Linked DNA regions of Styela clava. The protein of the gene in region 1 purifies or fractionates together with the protein of each later gene. This does not show direct contact. Links are inferred from orthologs where the notes say so. Each region holds a gene or a part of one and is shown on either strand. Other genes may lie near its edges. The genes, in order: DNA (cytosine-5)-methyltransferase 1-like and uncharacterized protein LOC120347059.

Region 1 (13,205 bases):
CAAGGAAAAAAAGATGAGCAAGTCACTTCATTAGTCGCAATCAGTTGCAAATCCTTGTTGAAAGTAGTGCTTGTTATTCCTCGGGTATTCTATCACCTAACTATTATACAAACTGCGATACTGGTTTTATCTAAAATTAATCTTGCAGCCTATTTTTTAACGCGCCCTGAACCCCAGCCGTTACGTCGCGCTCTTCTGGCCACTTCCCTTTACTGGCCTTGAAATTTTGGCCCACGGCCAAATAAGTTTGGGAACCTCTGATTTAAATGAAACGGATTTTTGGTCCTGAGACTCACGTCGACTTTTTGTTATCTCAACGTAAAGCCAGATATAATTTCAACAGATAATTGTACCCCCAGAAACATGACCGGCCAAATCTAATATGAACATGCGACAATCACTCCGCTTAATAGCTGGATGGTCAAAATATTTTTTCTGTAAACATCGTACTATATTTATTTGGATGACATAATGGTATGGATGAAACACGACTCGTGCTACATTCGTCTGCTAGAATTTTTTTACTCCTAAATTTTTCTTCTAAGTTGAAGAGATCTTCAACACTCAATTACATTACCTACCTAGTTGCAGGTATCCGCTTAACATGCTTTCATAAGATATATGTTCATCTTCAATGTACGGAGTTATTGCTGCACTTTAACAAACAGATAACAAACAGAAAAAATAGTTAGGATCAAGCATTGGTATGAAACATGTTTATTTAGACAAACTGTTAACAATTTAAACAAAAAAAAAAACACAAGGTGGGAACCAATCTTTATACAAAACTTGGTACTTATGAAATTCTACTAAGTCAAGTGCATGATCCGAGGTTATAATTAACAATTTGTAAACAATGATACTCAATCCAGATGGAAACTTAATTATATCAAGTTTAATCAAATAATATGTAATCAATGCATTGAAATTTCGGAAATATGTGTGTGTATGAAAGGTGGAACCAAAGCCAGGGTTCCACACTCATTCAGCATTCAAGATATGAAATGAGGCTTGAATTTATTGCACAAATTAACCAAGAGCAAACACCTTAAAGTTAATGATCGTTTCTCAATGAAATGATTCAGATCCTATCAAAGTTGTCATGTCTTCTTTACATATAAACCACATTATCCGACAGAATACATACAAAGATCAACTTGAATTGTAAAGAATACATATGCAAAAGGTTAATGTATACGTTTGTTTCATTTTGTGTAAATAATATAAGTTTACATTTATTATATACTTCATGAACGATTCACTTTGTGAAACTATCAAAAAATACACATGCAGAAGTTCAAATTTAGTTGCACTTGACAACATATACAAAATATTAAGACATTGAAATCTGCACATATTGAGTAATTGTATTACAAGAAATATCGGCAGTGTAATTGAGCAGAAAATCCTTGTATAAAAGAGTGCAAGGAACATGACTTAGAAAATTATAATATAAAAGTCCGTCCAAAAAGTTGGAACAACCTAAACTGTACCACATACAACACAAGTCAAAATTTTTTCTGAAATACATTCAAAAATGAGTGCACAATTGTAATTTCATATATTGATATAATGAAAAACTAAGTTGGCATATTACATATTAAGATGAAAGTACATTAGATATCATTCATCATTCAGAATTTTGAAATATACACATGAAAATGTTTGATCTAAATTTGTTCCTGAGTGTAGCGACATTGAATTATAACTTAATTTATCCAGCTCTACCGTTGTTAACAACTTGGAAATCAATAGCAACACACATTAACAAAGTCTTATAATTCTTTTCTGAAATTTTAATAGCATTCAATGAGCTTGACATATGATACAACGGTATGTTGCCAAAATCGAAGTCCATAACAGAGAATCAAGTCTATATGTTATCAATTTTTTCTTGTTTTATTTCTGGCTCTGGTTTAACTTTCACTCCTTGTTCCACTTTCCACTGGAGGCATTTTTTGATTTCCAACCCGATAGCCTTTGCCATTGGAGGAGGGACAGCATTCCCCACTTCTCTATGCTTGTCCAAGACTGTGCCAAAAAATCGATATGTGTCAGGAAACCCTTGAGAACGAGCACATTCACGAACACTGACAACGCGGTGTTGCTCAGGGTGCAAAACCCGCCCTTGTTTACCCATAGGTTCAGGGTTAGTAACAGTAGTGCTGAAAAATCCATCCCAGTCAAGACGACCATACAAACCTGCCCAATGGTTATGACGATTGCCAGTGTGGGGAAGACACCAAGGTATCAGTGTATTGAACTGACGATCCATAGGATCACAGGACTGTCCCGTCGCACATTGACAAACACCTCTTAATGCACCATTTGGGCCTTTGCCTTGCTTCTTATCATTATGAGTGTATCTTAATAACTTGGAGGTGGTTCCATCTGCGAATTTTACAGTTATGTTTGGAAGATCTCTCCAATCTGAACCAGGTGCATGAGGAATATAAGACATTCTAGCTGCGACAAGTGGACTCATCTCTTTACATATATGATCCCGTAGAATAGGCTGGTAGCTTGTGCCACGAATTTTTCGTTGAAAGTCACTCAATGGTTCTGAATCATACTGCCTTTCCAATTTAGAGTATCCGTTTGGAATTTTCGGCAAATCAGACATCGCATCTCGTACTGTGATAGTTCGAAAAGGTGCAGAGCTAAGACGTGTGATGTTATTCATGTAACGTTTATCATCAACCTGTGCAGTCAAAGATCCACTTTTCAGCGAAAATCCATGTAGAGGCTCAGGATACAGAGGTAGTTTTTCTCCTGGTGCTGCAGCAAGAATGATTGCTCGTCGTCTTGTCTGAGCAACACCATAGTGACCAGCTTGCAACACTCCGAACGTGCATTGATAACCCATTCTCACTAGACAAGCCAGAGTCAATTTTAACACCATACAATTTTTAAAAGAAACAAAATTGCGCACATTTTCAAGCAAGAAAAACTTTGGGCGAAGATAATCACAGTACGACAAGTAAGATACGACTAGAGAATTCTTGAAACGAGAATATTCTCTTGAGTTGAACCTATTCATTCCACTGAATCCTTGACAAGGTGGACCACCACACAAAAGTTCCACATCCCCTTTTCGTGGAAGAGTTTGCCCGCATGAATTTTTTTCTTCCCCATCCATGATACGTCGAAGAAGGACATTACAATCTTCTGTAAAAACAGTAGCACCGGGATTATTCAAACGATATGCCTGAGCAGCTGGATCCCAAAGCTCAACAGCATAGCAAGATTCTGCAATACCCGCTTGGTGAAAACCTTCCGAGAGGCCACCACAACCAGCAAATACATCCAATGTACGCAATTTTTTAAAACTGTGTTTTGATTCACATTCATCATCAATCTTCTCTTTTTCATCAGTAACTTTAATCTTTTTAGCATGAACTTTAACATTTGTTTTCTTTCCTGTTGATTGTCCAATGCGTCTTGCAGACAGTGGTGGATCATCAAATGACTTGTCATCTGCATCATATGATTCACTGAAATAAAATCTGTCAGAACCACCAGCTGTGTATTCTACGATACTTGATTTCAGGTCTAACTCATGTTCAACTCTACATTTACCTTGAACTTCAGTGAAGTTCACGATAGTCTTTTCACTAGACCAGAAGAGAAGATTTAAATCAGCAGAGTAGCTACCGCTGATACCTTTATGTGTGTTTTCAGACCGATAAAACTTTCTAACTTGAATTTTGACTTGATCACTTGGATTGCCATTTGTCTTCATATTAGAAAATATTGATACTATTCTTGCAACCCGAAAAGGCTCAGGGACGTTTTCATTACTCCCCTTGATGTGTTTTGTAGATTTGCGATAATATTCAGGGTATTTTTCAAAGTCTATTTTCTTGTTCTTTTTTGGCTTTTCTTCATTATTGTTTGGCTGAACGAAATCGAATCCATATGCCTCCACTGGAAGATATACAGAATCACCAACAGAATAGCTCACTCCATCATATTGTACTTTATTGTAAACAACTTTCTTTTCGGTCCGTTCTATTTCATCAATTGCTTTTGGAACACCAGCTTCATCTTTAGCATTGAGTCTGGCACATGATTCACATTCCCCCTCTTTGCATGAAGAGATCGGGGGGTCCTCAAATCGAGCAATATCAGAATCATACCATTTCTGACAGAAGAAATCGCTGATTCCATCGCAGTTATGCTTTTCAGGAATTTCACCTCCAAGCGTAAACCAATTCTCAGGAGTGCTTTTCATTTCAACATTTACCTTACTATTCACAAACTCAAGTTTTGTGTCTTCACAATCGTCAATTAAAAATAATTCTCCTTTATCTGCAACCTCGCCTAGAATTGATTCGGTAGCACGAATGTACCAATCAATATGAATCATTTTTGTTTTGTCAGGTTCCTCCCACATTTGAATAATCTTACCAATGAAAAGATGTTTACTTTGATCCTGAGGAAGTACAGAGACACAATCACCAAGAGTTATTTCATCTTCATTAATTTTGGCAGTGCCATAATATATTTTATTGGAAGTTTCAGTCCCAAATGGGACATAGGGATCACCAACCCACTTGTGAAGATTTTTTGATTTTCGTAGACCCTTCGATTTCGGACTTTTTGGTAATTTTTCAACAATTACATCTTTTTCTTCTTCAGTTTCTGAACCCTTGTCTACATCATATATCATTTCTTGACATTTTCTTTCCACACAAGATTGTTTGGCGATTCCCTTTCCACCAAATTTCACCATATCTTTACAAGCATTACAATTTCCACAATCTGGCAATAAGCATCGTTCACAAGCACCACATCGTTTTCGTCGTGGTGCACTGACTTTTGTCTCAACTGTTCCTTGAAAAAACGACTCTGTCATGAAGGCCACAAGAGGCGTTGTTGTAGCTTTTGTTGATGAAGCTTTTACAGCCTTTTTGTCTTTGATAATACGCTTTCGTACTGCTTTACGTTTACCCAGGGTAACACCAGCTAGATGGACAAGGTCACGCATGCATGGATGAGATAGTAATGAATCTTCATCTTCTTCCCTGGATCCATCAAAAGAATCTACTTGTTCAACAACAAATTGTGCATGGCGTAGGAGACTGTCCTCTGTAAAATGAGTGATATTTAAGTTGGCAGGTGGAACACAAGTCTGGATACGATTTACTAAATCCTCATACACTGCCTCAATTGTATCAGTAAGGAACTCAATAACGATTTTACTCATATAAATTTTCTCTTGCATGCTATTCCATAGCTTAGAATAAGAAGCACTAGCCTCCATCAAATAATAATCAGCAAATGCAGTTGAAAATCCAACGAGAGCTGCTTCACCACCATCAAAACCTGCAGTCCACCACTCATTGATCGGTCCCAACCTGGTTCCAAGCACTCCATTTTCAACACCTGCATCTTCAATATATACAGGTTTGATAACACCACTGAAAAATAGCTCAACATTTTTCTCAATCAAACCAGCATCAAACGGACACAAATGTGTATTCTTGTCATAAACACTGAAATTAGTGATCTTGTGCTGAGGACGGCCAGTCTCTTCATTGCCCACAAACAGTGCCAATGATTCGTGAGTGAGAGCAATGAATTCTTCACTCGCATCTGGTGTGTCACCTTCAAACATTTCAACTTCGTCAAGTAACTGTCTGCAATATTTACATTTCATTGTATTTGGTGTCTTTTTTTGCAAAATTTCCCCAACGATTTTGTCTTTTTGTAATTCTGTTTCTTTGTGTGATTTCAATTCAGTAGTTCCATTCTCACATATTACATTATTTTCAATACTTGTCTTCAGTCGTTTCATATCTGAGGTGTTATTTACGACCTCATCGTTGAATGAATTATCATTTGGACCATTTTCTTTATCTTCTTCAGATGCTTTTCGTTTTGCTTTCCTCTTGAACATATCAGCAATGGTAGGTTGAATACAAGCCTTTTTGTGTTTTTTCTCATCATTTTGGGTTGAACTTTTCAGCATTCTTCAAAATTTTAATACTGAGTGCAATAACACAATAAGACCTAAACTGTAAAACTAAGAGTGTAACAGAATTTAAAACCATAATGACCAAGAAGAGCACAATATAAATAGCAGATGCATGAAGATATACTAAGCTAAACTTACGCCAATATACCAACCTGTTTGTTCGTATGTGGTAGAATGTAGCCTAAATTTTCCTATCAATAATAATGTAAAATTCCCGAATTTACAAATTGACTATGGACCATAACATATATAGAACATGAGCACAGCTTTATTTCTATTAACTGACCAATATGATGCAAAAAACAAACACATCTTCACTGCATGAATGCATACTGGGAAAAATATTTTTATACTGTTACAAGTTTTAACATACAGTCAGCCAGAAAACTTGTTATTTTCTAAATTATAAAGACAAGTAAATTTATTCTACTTTAATGTACAATAAAAATATTTCTACTCCTAATGTGGGATATTTTAGAGAATCGCAGATTAATACGTCGAAACGCCCTTTTATCTTTTGAACTAATGTGGATGCGTATTATTTTTTAAATTCTAAAGACAAGTAAATTTAATATACTTTAATGTACAATAAAAATATTTCTACTCCTAATAAGAGATCTTTTAGAAAATCGAAATTGAATTTCTTGAATACACTCTGATTCTCAGCAATGTATATTTCTATATGTCGCGGTAATGGCACTTTAATGTCAGATTTTTGAAGTGAACACCGCTGGGATTTGTGGGTAAAATATTTCGCCGCAATTTCGCTAGGATCACGATGGCAAATAGATTGTTTGTTTTTTTAAACCAAATGTCTGGACATTTCGAAATCAGAGAACTGTGCCCTACAGCCTTTACGTCTGTACTTTGATTGTTTTAGCCGCAACTAGCAAAAACCAAAAAACTAACTGATAACAGGATTTGCTCAATTCTTCACTCAGCATTGTGCAACAATAGAGCAATTTTCATATTGAATTTGAGGTAATATATAAAAAAAATATTGAATAAAATTTTTTTTCTTTACTTCTGTATATAATAGGACAATCCAATATTTGCCATCGACCATTTCACAAGATTTGCTTGTAAACAGCAAAGTTAATGCATAGAAGAAAATAACGACAGAGTATAAATAATAAATTTATGATAAATCTGAATATCAGTAGTTGTAATTAATATCACCAACCTAGAAATTTCCTTTTGATAGTCAAGTTGGGAAGTGGTATACTGGTAGTAATATTATTTATTCATCATCATGCGTAACTCAAACATACATTATTAACAAAATGAAATAAAAAAAAACATAGGTGAAAGAACTCTGCAGAGGTTATCTAGCTGTTGACCCACATTCTGACATTACATTTTTGTTTGTTATTCAGGCAGTTTGCTTAGTCAGATCCAAAAGTTGTAATGATCTGTGTATTGTACCGCTACCGCCACAGCAGCTCTGATTAGGATAGGATTTACATATTTATTTGGGCCATTCCAAGCAAAAGTTGAATTCCATCAATTTTTTAAAAAGTGTAGTGAAAGTAATTTTTTTTATTTCTGATATCAAAAGACATTGGAATTTTATTGGACTGCATTCATTTCATCGAACAATTTAAAATTTCACCTAGGTTTTTGGGGTCTGGTATAGTTTAGTACCACATGCACTTCTAATTGGCCTGGCTCAATAATTTTTGCACATGTCAATCCTAACCCCCATCTGACTACGTCACCGAAAAATTACGTCATTCCGACATCACAGTAGCGTAATATGGTCCATCAAAGTATGCGGAAGGTTGTCCAAAACGTGCAGACAATCACCCGAAATCGAGCAAGCGATTTCTCTCGTTTACTCGTCACAGCGTTCACGATAGGAGAGAGATCGCCGGCTTTAGCGAGTTCGTTGTCAACGGCGCAGATGCCATTTCGGGCGATCGTAATTATAATTTGGCAAGCCCCATGACGTGTTGGTGACGTAATTTTTGGATGGCATAGTCAGGTGGGGGTTAGGAATAACATATGCAAAATTCGTTATTCTATGCCCGCTGGAAGTACTTGTGGTACTAAACTATACTAGACCCGGTTTTTGATGGTTTATAAAAAATGGCCTGAAATGTAGAAATTTTGGTATAATTGTGTGGTACAGTTTTTTCATATGGAATTGACGCACTGGGTTTAAGTTAATAAAGTTTAAATGTTTGCAGTGCTGTAGGACATTTCTTTACCCATTTAACAATTTATTACCAGAATTTTAAGAGATGATAGAGGCCGCTATTTCGAAGTGGAAAAATGTCCTGTAGTGTCACATACAATATGCACATTATTGGCATGGATTTACAGTGTTACATTAAGTAACTTGAGCAACACATAGAGGGTCTCGTGTAGTTTCTTACCCAACATACTTCTAGTGGGCGTAGCATCACAATTTTTTGACATGTCAATCCTAACCCCCACCAGACTATGCCATCCAAAAATTACATCACAATCATGTCATAGAGCTTGTTAAATATACGTACTATCGCAAGAAATGGCATCGGCGCCGACGATAAAGAACTTACTAACATCAGCGATCTCTCTCATACTGGAATCGTCGCGACGTAAAAACGAGAGAAATAGCCGTTTGATTTCGGGTGCGCGTCTTGGATGAAAGTTCGTATAGTTTGAAGGTCTCTATCACGTCACTGTGACGTCGTAGAGACGTAATATTTGGATGGCATAGTCAGGTGGGGGTTAGGATTGACACATGAAAGAGACCCCACATATAGGGGTAGTTCAGCTACTGCACCAGAAAATATTATGGGCTCCTACTGTACCATCGCAAAAATTTACAGCACAACACAACGTACTGGTAGTGCATGGTGGATTTGCCGTCCTGTAGTGTCACAATATATTTTTTTATCTACCAAGTACCGTAAGTCCTGGGTGTAACTTTTGTGCAATTTTTTACATATTCAATAAAGCAACTGATTGGACAATGAAACAAAACATGTAGCTGAAAATGTAAAATTATATAGCATCCAACAACTTGCAAAATTTCTGGAATTGTCCTGTAGTGTCACTTTGAATAGCCCATTTCAGCATTTACGGTACCGTATGTACGTTTTAAAGATTCAGATATTTTGTTTGCTCTCCTGATTTTTCATAATCAGTTTTTACCCAATTGTTTTTATCAATCATTTTATTGTTATGCTGAATATGGAGTCGAAATAAACTTATACTTCCTGCAATAATGACCTGAATATGAACGCAAAATATCCAAGCCTTTTCCCAAACAAAAGCAAGTATCGCAGTTTCCCGCGAATAGCGTTCTATGCTAAAACTCGGCCACATCAAGTTTGGCGGCAAAAACCATAAAAAACGCAAACGCCCGATGTGCCATATGTACATAAGATATGCGATGTTAAGTGCAAAATATATAACGTATTTTAAGTGTATTTGGACAACAGAAAAGCGATATATCTCAGATTTTCGTGGAGTCACTCGTGTACCTAATGGACTTTTCCCCGATCATCGACTTCCTTGTTTACTGCGTGACATTGGCCAATCAGCAAGATGCAAAAAGTGACGTAACAATGCTCCCTTTTCGCATCAGCTCAGACACTTTTCTCACTCAGACAGATTTTCAAGCGTGGTCTGTAAACATTACCTCGTTTTCGCGTTTTTGAACTCGTTAGTTTTCGGTTGTGTTCCGGAAACCTAAATATAAATCAGATAATTTATTGATCACTATGTCTTCCTAGGAGTTTTAATTTAACTGCAGTAATAAAAGATTTGTGTAGAAATAGCTGTGATAGACTAGGCTAAAATTCTTCACCGGTACTTTCAAAAAACAGATTGTTGTATGCAATGAATCATAATCATGGTTTGAAACATACCACATTTTACAGGCGCCAACTCGCAGAAGCACTCTTAAAATTTAGCCTTGAAAATTTTGCAATGGTAAAGTAGGATAGGATTTACATATTTATACGGCTTATCCATATGGCGAACCACGGCCTCTCGTCCGGTTACCATTCCAAGTTTGGTATGGGATTAGTTATATTGTTTGTTTTCGGAAGCATGGACTTGGTGGTGGAGGTCGGAGGAAGCCGTAACCGACCAGCGGTTACGTGAACCACCCAACGACGGCGAGGAGTCCAGCAATACTCTCCCATGCGAACCCATGCAGAGTAATTAGAGGTGCGGTGGCGAGCGTATTCCTAACGCTTAGCCCGTTGAGCCACATCGCCGCGCCTATAGGTATAGGAAGAATTTTCGGGGGTCAACGGTTGGGGGAAGATTCATAGTCCAGAGGGTTCATAGACCATAGCGCGTTCTGCTTCCTCAGTTTCATACATTTTCTTAGGGGTATGAGATAGAAAACATTGTACTTTAAACATCAATATCTCCTGCTGTAGAGTTTCTATTTATGACTAAGTATTTAATGCACCTAGTTGAGTTTTCGACTTCTCAATCAGTACAACCCAGTGGCGGCGCGTCAATAGGGCCAACCGACGCAATGCCCCGGTTGTTTTTTCGGTATAATAAAAAATATTCGAAAAATACCTCAATATCGGTTGCACAGACTGTCTACGAGGTGCGGCTAAAAAGAAACGGGACTGACGTCACAGATTGCGCAACACGATTAACCATCGGTAATCAACACTTTTGCAGTGTGGCGTAATATGTGTTCTATGTTTAACAATTGAAGAATGACGATTGAGCAAAGAATTAACATTAAATTTTGCGTCAAACTTGGAAAAATGCATGTCAACTCGGCATGCATTCAATCGTTGAGCTTTCTGCTCCTCAGTCAACTCAAGAGCCTTTGGCATCATTTTGGCACACACCTTTCGCATTCCCAAAGTGTCAACCAAAATGGTGCGGACCGTTTCTTTGTCCATCCCAATTTCGTTGGCAATGACGCGAATTGTTAAGCGACGGTCACTGCGAACCAACTGTCAAACCTTTTCGATGTTGGTATCAGTAGTGGAAGTGCAAGGCCTCCCTGACCTCGGATCATCCTCCACCTCTTCCCTGCCTTCCACAAATCGCTTGTGCCATTCAAAAACTCTTGTTCTGGACATGAAAGAATCTCCATAAACAACACGCAACATCTGCAAAGTCTCAGTCGCCGTTTCTCCAAGTTTGACACAAAATTTGATATTAATTCTTTGCTCAGTCGTCATTCTTTAATTGAACCCCCTATCGCCAAAAAACTCCATCAGACCTCGCACAGCATTATTTTCAACAAGAAATTTATCACATTCACTTATGGATCCTGAAAAGCAAAAATAATTGCGATATTGTGTCAAAACAGCTGTTAAACATAGAACACATATTACGCCACACTGCAAAAGTGTTGATTACCGATGGTTAATCGCAGTGGCGGCGCGTGGTCATTTTGACAACCGGGGCAAGCTACTGCGGGACCAAGTCACCCTCATCTACGGGGACAGGATGAGCGCTGTAAGTTCTCCCATCATTTTATGAGTATGAAAACCATTCCATCGGTAACAACCAATCGGCAAAAGCGACAATTTTTAACGATAAGAAAGTGTCTTTAAAACCGGTCCAAGTCAAGGGATTAATAAATATAGACATAGTTTATTTTGAAACCTCTTTCAAAAGCAAAGGCAATATTTACCCAGATAAATACAATGACATATTAACAGAAACTTCGGGAAAGCAGACAAAACCTAAAATAAGGTTTAAAACGTTGCTATGAAGAAAGGAAAGTTAATGCAAAGATAAGGACATGCGTCGCTCACTCATAGATATATATGCTGCTAGACTTCTACTGCTTGAACATATATGCAACACGCCGCGGTTTCTTGGAAGCAAAATGCTCAATAACGCGCTGATTAAAGTCATGCATCCCAGAAATAACGTCTCTGTGAATGGATAAAACAGCCAGGGAATTTAATCTATCTTGCTTCATTGTGTTTCTGAGATACATTTTAATACGCTTCAGCGTGCTGAATGTTCGCTCTGCGTCGGCGGAAGAAATAGGCGTCGTCAAAATGATGTCCAGAAATTTTGCAGACGCCGCAAAGGTAGTTACTAGAGTGTTATCTATGTGGAACCCATAGAGCGCGCAAGTTGATGTGATGTTCAAAAAAGTTTGATTGGTGTATATACATCGCAATTCATTTTCCAATTTACCCACGTTTATCATGGGGTAAAATTTGGAGACAGTAGCCAACAAATGGATGGGAGATTGACGTGCAAATTTTGAAAAATTTTTGGGGTTCATCAAAGAGAACGCGGCAAGGTGTTCAGTGCGCAGACAATCGCCTATTTGATTCACCAGAATGTCACAGCATTCCTTTGCAGACAAAATCAAACGCTGCGTTGTTTGCCCGCGGTGTAAAGAAGCACTCCACGTGTCGTCGTATTTTATTGTTTCCCGGATACGAGATACAGCATCGCAGAAGTCTGAAATACACGACTGCACAGACGCTCCATCCATTAGCCTTGACTGCAATGCGCCGTATAATACATCCACGTGATAGAATATTGTGGAGAAAAAAGCGAGAAAAAATGAAAACTCACCATCTACTAGCAGACGCTTTAGACCTGCCGCCTCCCTCACAGAGCGTTCGTCCCAAACCGGAGAGCTCTGAATGCCATTGAAACACTCAATGAGCTCAGACCTAATTTTGGACACGCCCTACACCACGCGTGATTGGAAGTTCCAACGTGTTGGTGCACAAGCTGGGAGACGTGGCTACATATCTGGCGAAGGAGGTCAGAGCGCTTCGGCGAAACGGAAAAAAATGAAGAAAACCCCGAAACATTTGCAAAAAATATACGGACGAGAGGGGTATCAAGACACATATTTTTAATAACGAGGTTAAATTGGTGTGCATAACAATGTAAAAAATGCGCATGAGGAAAATCTTCTTTTATATAAACTTGAACACCATGTTTCGACCCACTCATGACTGCCGCGCCGTCATAAGTTTGAGCTATCAATTTTGACTTCGCGTTGTAAGGCTGTAACACTTCTTTTAGTACAGCCGATATCCCGCAAGCCGTGGGATCAACGATTGGTACAAAGCTGTGAAATCTCTCGGTAGGTTTACCATCTTTCACAGACCGAAAAATCACAGCCAGTTGGGAAACGCACGTGATGTCAGTTGTCTCGTCAGACTGAATCGAAAGGAACTGGCAATTCTCAATTTCCAGAGCCAAATGTTGTAAATAAATTTTATACATTGAGTCGAGCAAATCATTTTGGATATCCTTAGATGTCCCT
Region 2 (13,169 bases), on another chromosome or scaffold:
ATATATATACGAACATTTGGTATTCAATATATTGTGTGCTCATTGACTTCTGGGGAGTTCAGATCGGAGTTACACTCGATTAAACGTGTGTCAATCTAATAACACGTGAGTGAATGCACAGATGGGGCCAAACAGTCCGCTATACGCATGCGTGGCCAACCTACCTGCGAACGCGATCGACTAAAATTCTCAAAATAGCTCGAGATCGACTGATCAGTAATAAAGTCATACACAAAAACAAATTAGTTTAAATATGCAGATAACTGCACACGCGCTCAAAAGAAATTTCGCCGATCCCAAGTGCCAATAAGCTCGGTTCTTTGGGCGCAATCCTAATAAAATCGCCATAAAAAGTCGTGTTTTTTACGTCACGGTTAATTTGATTATGTAATTTTATGCGGATTAAATGTTTCATCATTCATTCAAATCATACAATCCAGTATTAAGACCTGCCTAATTTTCTGTCGCAAGTGTTGAAAATTCCTCAGAAAACCTTGCAAAGTATCCACGTATTATCTAAACAGCAAAAAATAAACATTCCCAAACCATAAATGTTAGATGACTGCCCAAACTTCCTAATGTACAATTTCCTCCAATTCCGATTCTGTGCTCGCTTGGAATTAAAAAGTAGTAGGCCTTTTGATGCTACTGCGAGTGAGACAAATACTTTAGAGCATACTGCAGAAGTTATTTTACGATCGTTCGTCAGTCAAGGCACACGATATTTGGCAAGTTCATTTCTTAAAATTGGCAGCGGCGAAACTTGCCTTTGTTACGTAATAATATGCCCTATTGGCCTTGCCCAGGCATAAATACTATATGTGTATACTGTATCGTATTCTGCCTGTGAGCGGTACTGTATTATTCATGTTTTGAAAACACATAACATGCGCTGCAAACTTGTTAAAGACAATATTTTGAGATATTTTACCGAATTCTCAGGCGTGGTGACGCGTTCGACTGTATAGTCAAGACCCGACCGGTCGATCGTGATCAACGTGTTGGCCACTCTTGACTTTGGTTACTTTTATTTTGGTACATCGCCAGCAACCCTGCCTATACACAAATAAATACAAATGATATATAACATGAATAAAAAAAAATTAATTAAACATGTAGTGAAAATACCACATGTCAAAATAAAAGGAAATAATGCGGCTTATCTAACTGGACCAGCCCCTCAAAGAAAATAGGAAATAAATGTCGGATGCTCGTCGAGTGGCTCGCGATCTGGGGATATATATATATGATTGAAGTGTAAACATTTGAATCAACGCCAGTCGCGGCCAACTCGCCGAGCAAAAAAGAAACAACAAAAAAATACGCGAAATTTTTATTTGATGAAAACGACTGTATAATTATAATAGGTACCACTCGCCTTTTACTATCGACCAAATTGAAGTGAGGAAAAGTGTGAAGTGGTCGCATAAAAAGAAAAAAAAGACAATTGATCAAAATTATAAGTTGGTGACATGATAAATCTACAAATTAAAATAATAATGGTGGCGAGCGGTATAAAACTAATATATATACAAATACATGGCATATAGGCAGTGGCGTAGCATCCACCCCCGCAACCCCCGCGGTCGCGGGGGGAGGGGGGGGGGGCACAGCGAAAAGGGGCCCCAAGCGGTTAAAATTTAGATATTTAAGAAAACCAAAAGCTGCATTGCAAAAGGAGTAATGCACATCCTATAATGTTGATGTTGGTTCTGCTCAAATCGTTTCGTTATGTAACAATGCCGGAGTCGTCGATTTTCGGTGTCGTGTGGTTTGATCGCACCGGCCGCCGGCACGCACAATTACGAAGGCTGTCAGATTGATGTCGAAAGCAAAACTTCTTAGTGGCGCACAAAAACGAAGAATAAAGGGCAGAAGAGGAAGAACGTATGAAAAAAATTAAAGTAACCAATATAAACGAAATATTTAAACCAAAATTGAAACAATTAGACTTAGGAATACCGAACGTGACTGAGGAGGAATTAAGCCTAGCACCTGTTCGGTAGAAAACCAGATGCGTGTTCAATCTCCAAAAGTGATGGCGCTGGCGCAAATGAATTTACTTCCAAAACTTACGCGACAATTATCACAGGTAAGCTACTGATTTTTGAAGCAAATTAAAAAAATTGATATGACAGGTCGGGATGAATTACAAACAAACAAATTTGAAGCCACTGGATCAGTGGAGGTATTTCAGTGAGAAAAAGGCTCAAACTACATCGGGAAATTGCTAGTGGGAATCAACCGGGTGATTATGATCAATCAAATTATAAAACAATCACTCATAAAATAACACCTCATACACAAACTAAGAAAGGAGAATAAATTCAATAAAGAGTAGAATGCAGTGTCGGAAAAGAGGGTGAAGTCAGATTAGCCAACACTGCCAGGAAGTTCGCACCAAACCCTCCGGACTTGGTGGGAACCCCGGATGGATTTCCTGACGCAGTTACGGGAGACCGCCGTAGCGACCGTTTCAATCACACCCAAAGCAAGAAGAGCAGTCTGGTTTCCAACGGCATAACTGCTGAGAGAACCAACCACAAATGCGTAAACTCCACTACTTTGCCAAAGGCAACAGCAATGGAGCGACATAACTCTTCATACCGAAAGTGCTTCCGACGGGCCGCGTCATCTATAGCGGCTCGCCGTTGTCGAATGGTCACACCACATTGACCACTACGATCCGATTCGTCCAGATTTTCTTGAGAATCAAATCGGACCGCAGCATCTCAGCTGTTCTAGCGGTGTGCTCACGACAAACTACGTCGACATCGCACCTAGAAAACCTGGCTGGAGGTAGGTGAGCCAAGATCTCTTCCTGCTGCACCGAATCGTGCCGCTCTTTAATGATATTCATGACTGGGTGACAGTGATTCAGCATATGAGGAAGAGTCTCGTTTGCATACCCACACTTGCTACAAGTCACCCGTGGTTCCGCATATGCCGTAAACCGTCTACGAACGGATCGCAGCGGCAGAAGATTTAATCGAGCTTTCAAAAACCACGAACACTGATACTGGGCGAGAGAGACAGACGTGAAGAGCAACTTAATTTATGTGACTAAATACAAAAACAGCAGTTATCATTCCATTTGGACTACAATACAACCCTAACCTGTATCCCTACGTTATATTACAACCCTAGTATAAACCTCTTACTTTTAAACCCAATTAATAACTTCGATCCGAATCGTTTATCCTAACCGCAGATAGTAAACCCAATATTAAACACGATAAACAACTCCTAGCGCAATAGATTACACTGAATACAAGACAGAAGGTGCCAACCAGGGCTGCCACTTTTGCCTGACTAAAAACATCTAGATTGACCTCGAAAAACATCTAGTAACATCCCGATTGAAAAATAAAACATCTAGAAAATACATCTAGATATCAAATCCTTGAGTTTAATGCAAAGTAACCATAATACAGTAATATTAGATGTCGAAGAAGCTAACATCCTAACCTAGAACTCAATTCCCACCTGCAGAACTTACAAAATACCTTATTCTTATCATCTGAAGGGGCAAACCATTCCTTAATTAAGCCAATCTTTTTTAAATTTTTGCTGGTAGTGTATACACTTTGGCATTTTGAAAGGTTGATGTTTAAAGAGAGACACATTCAATAGCCCTAGTTAGCAATAGTTTCTATTTAACGTTAATTAAAACGTCACATGTTTTGAACATGTTAAATTCGTTATTCAAATATTTTGAGTACATATGGCTGTATGGTACCAGTGGACGAATACAATATGAGTGAGTTTTATCAATCTTAGTCAATACTTATAAATAATGAAACAATATTCATTCACCTATTACAGTATTATTTACATCTCTTTATTTATTTCCCACTGAAGAATATTTATAACCTTGAAAAAAATATCTAGAAATTATAGCTAACATATAGGCTCCAAATTTCACATCTAGATTTCGAAAAAAAAAAAAAGTTGATCTAGATGTAAAACATCTAGGGTTTTATTTCAAATGGACACTAGACATAATAAATGAGTTGATACATACTGATATGGATGGGCAATGAAGATTTACTCCAACACAGAGGAGCACTCTGCACGTGGTTTAAAGAAAAGTGTAGCTTACGTTCGGATGTACATCTTTCATATTTGGTGTATCTTGAAAGCATGGATGAAGTGCTTCAGTCGCAATAAAAATCAGGAGCTAAATATAATTCAGATATCAGAGTACTGTTGTAAAGCAAAATCTTTTTTCAAGCCTCATGTTTTGATAGACTCAGTAGCTGCAAATTCATAAACAACATAATTGAAAGTGTTATGACAAAAAAAAGAGATGCCTGAAATAATTGCCAGTAAAATGATTAGATCCGAAAATGACATTTTGGAATATTTTAGGGGTGCTGTGTTAAAAATGTTGGAAAAAATTTAAATATTGCGGTCATCCAGAAGATGTCTGCTACCACTTTTAGAGGATGGAATTTAGTTTGCTCATGTGTCCATCTACAGAATACCTGTATTCATTAAGCATACCTCAATTGAATTTTAAAAGAATGAATATCCCAATAAAATTCAGTTTTTGAGGTGCGAGTAAAAATCCCAATAAAGTTTAGTGCAATACAGCGGTGAGTAGTGACAGATGTTCTTCCTAGTCAATATTTCAAAAACTTCACATTGAAAATCGGTCTTGTGAAGAATTGTCAGATGATATCGAATAAGTGATATCATATAGATTTTCGTGTATTATGGATTCAAAATAACTTTTATTAAAGTGTAAGTACGATACGGTTCTCAACCTTTTTTAGTGTCAGAGCTTGTAATTGGCCTTGAATTTTAACTCTGACGTCTGGGAAAACCGCACTCGTGATGGATGTAGCAATAAATATTACAATAGCTAGATTGATATTTATATCATGACATCTATTTCAGTCCGAAACATTTTTCTTTCCAATCACATTGAAACGCCCGATTATATTTATAAAGCGTTGCGAGCCTTTTTAAAGGTTTGCTTGACAAAATAAGAATTAAATATTTTGTTCGAAAATACCTAATATTAGCACAGTGTGCGCAATAACCTTCTTGTGATTAATGGAAACAATCTGAAACGTAGACTGGACATTGGGGGGTATTATGACATCATAATGAGTCGTTCCTTATATTTTCGAGCAACGTCTGGGCAAAGTATGAATCAATGTGTAATCCTTTGTCATTGAATGATTTCCAATATTTACGGTACCTTATATACAACCTTCCAAACAATTTTATATTCTAATTTTCACACCCAGAGATAACATAGGAGTAACTTTGAACGTATATCACCCAAGACATTTCGGGGAGTCAACAACCGTATTTGATAAAGGAGATTTTCAAACTAACTAAACGAACAAAGCCACATTTGTCGTGGTTTGAAACACACCTATCGAAACCTGCAAAAATGATCGGATTACCTAAAAAGTCCTCCTCACTATCGGCCCTACATAATTTCCAGATAAACGTGCTATTACAGTTTTCCAGGTTAGGATCGTGTCGGCCGTTGATTGGTCGTGGGACGTGATGGCGAGTGGCGACGTTTTGAATTTGGAGTTAGGTTTTCCAAATTTAGGGACACTCGATTCGGGCTACACACATCTTTCAATTGTCTCAAATTTTAAGTTGTTTTACTGTTTTATTATCAATTCTTATATCAATTTTACCGTTGTTTTAATTGAAGAATAATACCACACAATAGCAGTACTAAACAATCAAAGATTCACTCGTTTTACATTGTAGACAATAAAGCGGCCGTCAAAGAAGCCTCGTCTCGCAAAGAACCGTAGGTGAAATACCTGCGTACTGTACAACTTTTCTGTGATTTAGTTTCTGCGTCCACATTACAAATAATGTGTGTTCTTTCAGCTTAGATTCAATTAATTTCAGCTGCAATATTCCCTAATTCCCCAAATCCCGCATTTGCTGAGTAAAAATCCGGAAACGTTGGTTCCAGAAATTTCAAATAGACAATCCCGAAGTGTGGAGTGGACTTTTGAACTTAGCTTTCTGTGCAGTGAAACTGACGTTACTTTGTGGTATGCAAGACAAGGTAGGGTCGGATTTACATATTTATGCTCGGGGAGAGGAAAGCCGATAATGCGTATCAACCATACGGCGAACCACGGCCTCTCGTCCGGTTACCAGTCCATGTTGGGTATGGGATTAGTTAGCTAGATATTTGTTTTCAGATACATGGACTTGATGACGGAGGAAGCCGTGTACCACCATACGGCGTAGAGGATTCCAGCAATCCTATCACACATAATTTACTCCTCCTGATATTCGAACCTACGAACCAAGGTAATCAAAAAATATTCATTTGTCGATACATTCACTTGTCCGTTCTCAATCCCTTCTTGATCATTGCGTTTTTTCTTTGAATGCTGGAACTAAAAGTTACTATTGCATGTGCTTTCATACATTTGCCATAGTGCCAAAATCATAAATCCGGTATACAAAAGTACTTAGTTAAATTTAACGAAGAGAGGATAGGATTTACATATTTATCCCGGGGGAGAGGAAAGCCGATAAGATGGCTTATCAATATGGCGAACCACGGACTCTCGTCCGGTTACCATTCCAAGTCGGGTATGGGATTAGGTATATTGTTTGTTTTCGGAAGCATGGACTTGGACTCTCGTCCGGTTACCATTCCAAGTCGGGTATGGGATTAGGTATATTGTTTGTTTTCGGAAGCATGGACTTGGTGGTGGAGGAAGCCGTAACCGACCAGCGGTTACGTGAACCACCCAACGGCGGCGAGGAGTCCAGCAATCCTCTCGCACATAAACATCTCTGCATGGGATTCGAACCTGCGAACCCACGCAGAGTAATTAGAGGTGCGGAGGCGAGCGTATTCCTAATGATTAGCCCGTTGAGCCACACCGCCGCGCCGGCGACTTGGATGTTATTTGAATTAGTAATCTTACCATTGGATTCATCCCATATAAACTTGTTATTTAGCATTGATCGCATTATGCAATTTTTTTAAATCCTATCTCGCGACCGCATAAAAAGCTTTCGCAAGCAGTGTGCGCCCGCCAGCCCTACGTTATGTAGCCTATAATAGCCTGCGCCTACCGTATCCTGATTTCATAATCGGTTTTTATTTATTTGTTCCAAACAATCACTTTATTGCCTTATTTTGCTGATTAGGAGGTTGAAATAAACTTATACTTCACTGCATTTAAAAACTTCATATTTTATATACTTTTCTATTAGTTTATAATTTGGCTCGTCATTTAGTGGTGCATCGAGTCATATGCGAATTTTTCTATAACTAAAATATTTTGATTCCATTTAGTACGATATCCACACTACTATTAAAATAGCATAAAAGTTGATAAAAGAATATTTATATATAATTTAATTCTTAATTTCTCAAAGATCTTGATTATAACAACCCTTTTGTAATTACACATCTCGAATCCGGTACCGGTATACGCTCCTGCACATTATGCCTTTGTTCTGATTTGCGATTTCCCAAATCCCAATGGCTTATGTGGTTCTGCCATCTTTCTAAAATCCTAGTCCATTTTTACAAATTTCAAGTTTTTTGTTGCTTTTGTGGTTTGTCTTCAGGGCGTTCCAGCGTTAGATAATCAGCTTTTGTAAGTGTCATGGCGGATAATATGGATGAAGATGATTTGGTTGTACCGTACAAAAAACTAAGAAAAGAGAAGGCCGGAATTGAGGGTGAAGATTTTGGAATTCAACCCAATTTAAGTGAGTTTATTTTAAAAGTTTTTATGGTACCGGTATATTGTGTACCGTACAGCCATATAGTCTACAGAACTCGAATGAACTGGATGAGGATATTCTGACAAGTCCAGAAGTCCTGTTGTTTCTAGCCATCACCCTCTAAATTCTAAAACAAAAGTCGCAATCGCTTGTTTCTCTATTAATTTGTTACACAACTGATTATGTTAGTCTGTGACTGCTAGGCTAAAACCTCCTCGAATATTTATCAAAATTCCAAGCACATTAATACCGTCAGACCGTATTTACTTTGACTTCATGTTAACATCATGGTTAAGATGACATTGCTGGGCTAATTTTCACTGTAGATTATTTACTTGTCATGTATATTCCTGTATTCTGTACCGTAATTTACAAAAATACAATGCATTATTTCAAAGTGTCTAGTGATGTCATTTCTGTATTATAATACTGATAATATGTCCAAGTCCAGAGGTCGTAATGAAAAAAATCATAATATGAGTCTAATTTTCAATGCATATCTGCGTATGACATCATTTATGTAGTCTTGATGCGGCAGATTCAAAGATTGATAGTCGTAGCCCTGAAATACCAAGTCACAGATCAACTACAAACACGTCGATTCAGTTGGTTGGCTTTGGGTGAGCTTATAATGTTAACCCTCGGACATAGAAAAGGTATTAGAAATGCATCAAGTGGGGAAAATTTCACTCTATCAATGCTTTATGTTTATATCAATTTGTTTTTTTCTCGTATTTACAGGTTCTCATTTCTCCAATGGGCTTGGTGATTCAAAGTATAAAAGTGGAGAATCAGCACCAGGACGTCATCTACGTTTTCATTCCGTTGAACAAGATGATGTCCAGAGTAGTTCAGGCAATAGTAGTAATATAGAAAATGAAAATCCCAATGATGAAGATAGCGGCAACATAAGTGATTCATCATCTCATGCAAGCTCTGGGGATTGGCAAAGAAGACCAGCTGGTTTGTAGCGGAGTTTTATTCAAAATTACGCTTTTTCAGGGTTCATTTTATTAATTTCAAATACCTTTCCCTCTTATTCTTAAGTAGTGAATAATTTGGTAATGATGCTTTTTTTTATTACAAAGCTGTATCCAATTCGAGTTAAAAGAATTTCGATTCAGATTCCAAGTTTTCAACATTATTTTATTCAAATGCCTGAGCCTTATTTCGATTAAAAAACTTGACTCGACTACAGACTGACTAGTCTCAAGACTCCAATGGCTTGTGATCCACGGTTTAGGGACTACCCGACAATTATTATTAAACACATTCATGCGATCCACTCTGCAGCGCCGTAATATTGTATCATAAAAAGTTTAAAAAAAGTGATATTATTCGTTCCTTTGACAAGGTATCTTTCTTCACAGGTATGATTGGATGGGTTCATGCACAGATGTTGTCAGGCGTCGATCCTAGAGAAATTCTTCACCATCTTGTACCAAGTTTATCCAGTAGTTTACCTGTAGACATCAATCCATTTACGTTATGGAAACTTGTGAGTTTTTTTTTACCTTTTAACCCTAACAAAGCTGTCTTACAACCCATACGCTGGTGAAAAATCTTATTGCTCAAACATAGTTATATTTATGAAATTGATGCTGGCATTTTAAAACAAAATTTGTTTTGAAAAGTCTCTTTGCCATTGGAAACATGCAACTGCATCTTTTTTAATACAACATTGTTGAAGGGCCGCCACACTCTAATTCTAAAATGAAAGAATTGGTATTTGACTCGACTTGGCACCGACCTAACGTGTATTGCCATAGCCTCGGGACTCTGTTGTCGTTATCTCCTAAATGAAGATGAACCATCCAACCAACCAAAGCGTCGTACGGCTGTACCATAAAAATAAGCAACCACTATAATTCGAGGTGGCACCTGGCCAACTTTGCATGCTTGGTGATGATCGTGATGCAGACACTATTCGAGGATTGATATGAGATCGCAATTTAAATTCAGAAGGTCCACGTTAAATCACAATCATATTCAGGCTATCAAAATCTTTGCTCTTTTGGTTGTCTTTTTCAAACTTATACTTTTTTTGCTATTTCAGGTTTTAAACATTCTGAGTGAGCCACAGAGACGACCAAAGTTATCCCACATCAATTCATTGTCTGATGTTGTCAATCTGATAAAAAATGCAAAAAATATATTAGTACTAACTGGAGCAGGGGTGAGTGATGTTCTATCATCAGAAAATGTAAATCTTCAATAAGGCAAAGTGAGAACTGAAGGGACATGATATATATACGTAAATGACTTCATCGAAAAAAATTGTCACCATCAAGGTTTATCAGAAAGCCGCCCGTCTTTAGTCTGGCCATCGATTATATGGTGGCCATTCGGTGCCCTCATTATAAGTTTATATCTGCCCTAAAGTACAGAAATGAGAGGGAAGACAAGCCGTGAAGCGAAACATCTCTTTGTTTGACATGAATATTTATCTCGGAGCAGCTAGACGCCATATTTACAGATATTATAGCTTAGTTCTGGTTAGTTCATAGCTCATTTATAACTGAGTTTAATTGAACTCAGAAAATTCTTCCCTCTGTCTGTTGTCACTAATTTAAATCTATGTTTGCAAGGTTTCAGTATCATGTGGAATTCCAGATTTTCGTTCCCGCGATGGAATATACGCTAGACTTGCAGTTGATTTTCCTGACCTACCAGACCCACAGGTTTGACTTATACTGTGTAAAAGTTTTCATGAGCAAATTGCATGACATCATAAATAATATTTTCTTTGTTTCTAGGCGATGTTTGATATATCATATTTCACACAAGATCCTCGACCATTTTTTAAATTTGCAAAGGAAATATATCCAGGACAATTCAAACCTAGCAGAAGTCACAGGTAGTTTTCAAACTTTTAAATTTTAAGAATGATAGATCATAGATGATAGTACTTTTTAGTGTTGGGGCAGTGCACTCAAGTCATGATTTGTACTTGTAACCACCAGTACTCGACTTAACTTCGAACACTCGGACGAACTGTGACTCAAAAACCCTTAAAAAAAATGTTTTCATATTTTGCGTAACTAATTCAATTTTCATATAGGTATATGTTTAATGACTCTTGTATCACATATTTTTTCACAATCACTTGCTAAAAGTCGCTACAAATGAGGGTGCTGCAGAAGTGTGTGTACCAACTACCAATATGGAGATAACTAATTTTGTCTTCCTACTTTACATCAAGTTGTGTGAAGCGACTGAAACCTATGGGCAGGGGGTATATTCACTGGGCTAAGGCAGACAGTCTCTGAACTTGTAATAGAACTAAAATGCGGAAAATGTGAATATAATTATGGCCTAACCCTAACCTGGTACCAGGGCTGGGGAGCTGGTTCGAAATCATGATGGCTCCGGCTCCAGCTCCGGAGTCGCAGTGTATTCAATCTTTAGTTCCAGCTCCGGCTCCATAGCCATTATCAGTAGTGCAGCCCAATAACGCATTTTGCTAATTGTTTTCTAAGTGTGGCATGTTATTTAGGCTGTAAACACCCTTCAAGTTGGTGTCATGATAATTCCTTTTTGTTCCTGCATGTAACTTTTGAATCCACTGAGAGTTATTTTATGCTGTATTTCCGGGCGAATCGATCTACCCAGCATATAAGGGTTTTACATATAACCCACCCCACAATAAGACGGGAAGGAATATCGGCTTCTGGAATGGTCGCAGCGTTTGCGCATTCGGTAAAATAGCTCATAATGACTTTTTCTACCACATAATATTTAACCCATAATAACTGTCTTTTTATTTTAATTTAATTGTGTTCAACATAACTGGCAATCATGCCGGCCAAATAAAATCTGTCGTGGGCCATTCTAAAGCAAAAATTATGGTGTTTTCTGTTTTATTTTCAGTATTTTATAATGTCGCTTTTTAATCAGGAAAATTTGGTTTGCGTATTGACTTCTTTATTTATCTTAGAATTTCATCACCGGTGATTATGTAATAACTCGTTTTCTCACAAATATGGTGCGCGACACAAAACATATGTCTTGAGAAATTGTGATTAAGGGAAAAATAAACACTGAAATAAAAGATGTTATGGCCTAATGTTTATGGCGACTAAAACAATTGACGCTTTTCACGAAATGCAACGCACATGTGATAGTAACGGCAATAGCCCTTCAACTCATGATAATTTAAACTGGCCTGACGGAGGGCAGGATTTTATGGTCCAAATTGAATAAGCAGACCCAAAATAATGGAAATTACCATCGTCACCCAATTAGATGCCGTCCCCCTCTCCCAAATCAGGCCAAAAGTTGGTTCTAGAATCGAGGCGTTTTCATAATTATCAGCGATGAGATGTTAAAGATAAATAGAGAAGTCAATTCGCAAGCCGAGTTTCCACATTGGAGAGTTATTATAAGATACTAAAATGAAAAGGAAAACACTATAAACTTTGTTCTGGGAGACTCCCAACAGCTAAAAAAAATGCCTTGTTAATCAGGTTAATCTCATTATATTTTTTGCCTACGACATATTATTTACCGGTTGACTTTGAAAATTATACAGTCACTAAAATAAATACTCGCGATATACTTTTTATATATTCAAAAAATAACAACGGAAATTGATGAGACTTTTCTCCAGAACATGCTATTTTATAGATCAAAACAAGATATAATGGGGCACTTTGCCATACATTTTTATGCCAGGTGACTGCTGCGGAGCATTTTGGAGTAGTTAAACCTTTCTTTTGTCGTAAAACGACTCAATCTCGAGATATGTTGAACAGAATTGAAGACATTTGAAATGGATTGGATATTCAACGCCACGAAAAAATCATAATATGTTACATGGAAATTCCAAAATCACTTCTTCGAAAATCCCTGGCCGTTAGGGTTTTTGAGCTTGACCGCAATCATGAAAAATTGCAGCTTAGTGGAAATGAGAATCAAAATTTTGATAAAAGTGAACCGCTTCAAATTTTGATACTAAACTTTCAAACATACAGAATAACTGAAAACTTTTTAAAAAATAGTAGGAACTAAAATTTTTAAAATGAATTATAAGCTGAAAAGAAAAGATTTTATCATTTGTAACGCTATCAGAAAAAAATTATAAATTTGAAAAACAAAAAATGAGATATTTAGGAGCTGGAGCCTGGAGCCACTAAATTTTTGGTAGCTCCAGCTCCATCTGTTATGAAAAGCTTGGCTCCAATTCCGACTTCGGCTCCATCAAAATGTAACGGCTCCAGGCTCCGACTTCAGCTCCGGCTCCCCAGCCCTGCCTGGTACACACACTACGAGAGTACCCAAATAAGCACTGCTTTTATATTTTTCCTCCTATATGAGAAACCTGTTAAATACTCGCTTTGTCCCATATGGCAGAAATTGAGGTAGATTACCGGTTAATTGTTTCAAATCCGAATACATGTGGACTGTTATGTATTCAAATATTTGAC

What was found.
Region 2: the proteins of DNA (cytosine-5)-methyltransferase 1-like (region 1) and uncharacterized protein LOC120347059 purify together in Homo sapiens (affinity purification with western blotting; 3 studies listed by BioGRID and IntAct, with this or other methods). This does not show direct contact. The link is inferred for Styela clava from reciprocal best matches to the Homo sapiens genes DNMT1 and SIRT1.

Annotation. Positions count from the first base shown.
Region 1 is NC_135257.1:3,597,069-3,610,273, reverse strand, and holds DNA (cytosine-5)-methyltransferase 1-like, read right to left. Parts: upstream 6,025-13,205; 5' UTR 5,975-6,024; coding exon 1,874-5,974; 3' UTR 695-1,873; downstream 1-694. UniProt on the Homo sapiens protein: Methylates CpG residues. Preferentially methylates hemimethylated DNA. Associates with DNA replication sites in S phase maintaining the methylation pattern in the newly synthesized strand, that is essential for epigenetic inheritance.
Region 2 is NC_135260.1:19,825,026-19,838,194, forward strand, and holds the start of uncharacterized protein LOC120347059, read left to right. Parts: upstream 1-7,492; 5' UTR 7,493-7,622; coding exon 7,623-7,728; intron 7,729-8,484; coding exon 8,485-8,706; intron 8,707-9,113; coding exon 9,114-9,241; intron 9,242-9,799; coding exon 9,800-9,919; intron 9,920-10,331; coding exon 10,332-10,424; intron 10,425-10,499; coding exon 10,500-10,600; intron 10,601-13,169. UniProt on the Homo sapiens protein: NAD-dependent protein deacetylase that links transcriptional regulation directly to intracellular energetics and participates in the coordination of several separated cellular functions such as cell cycle, response to DNA damage, metabolism, apoptosis and autophagy.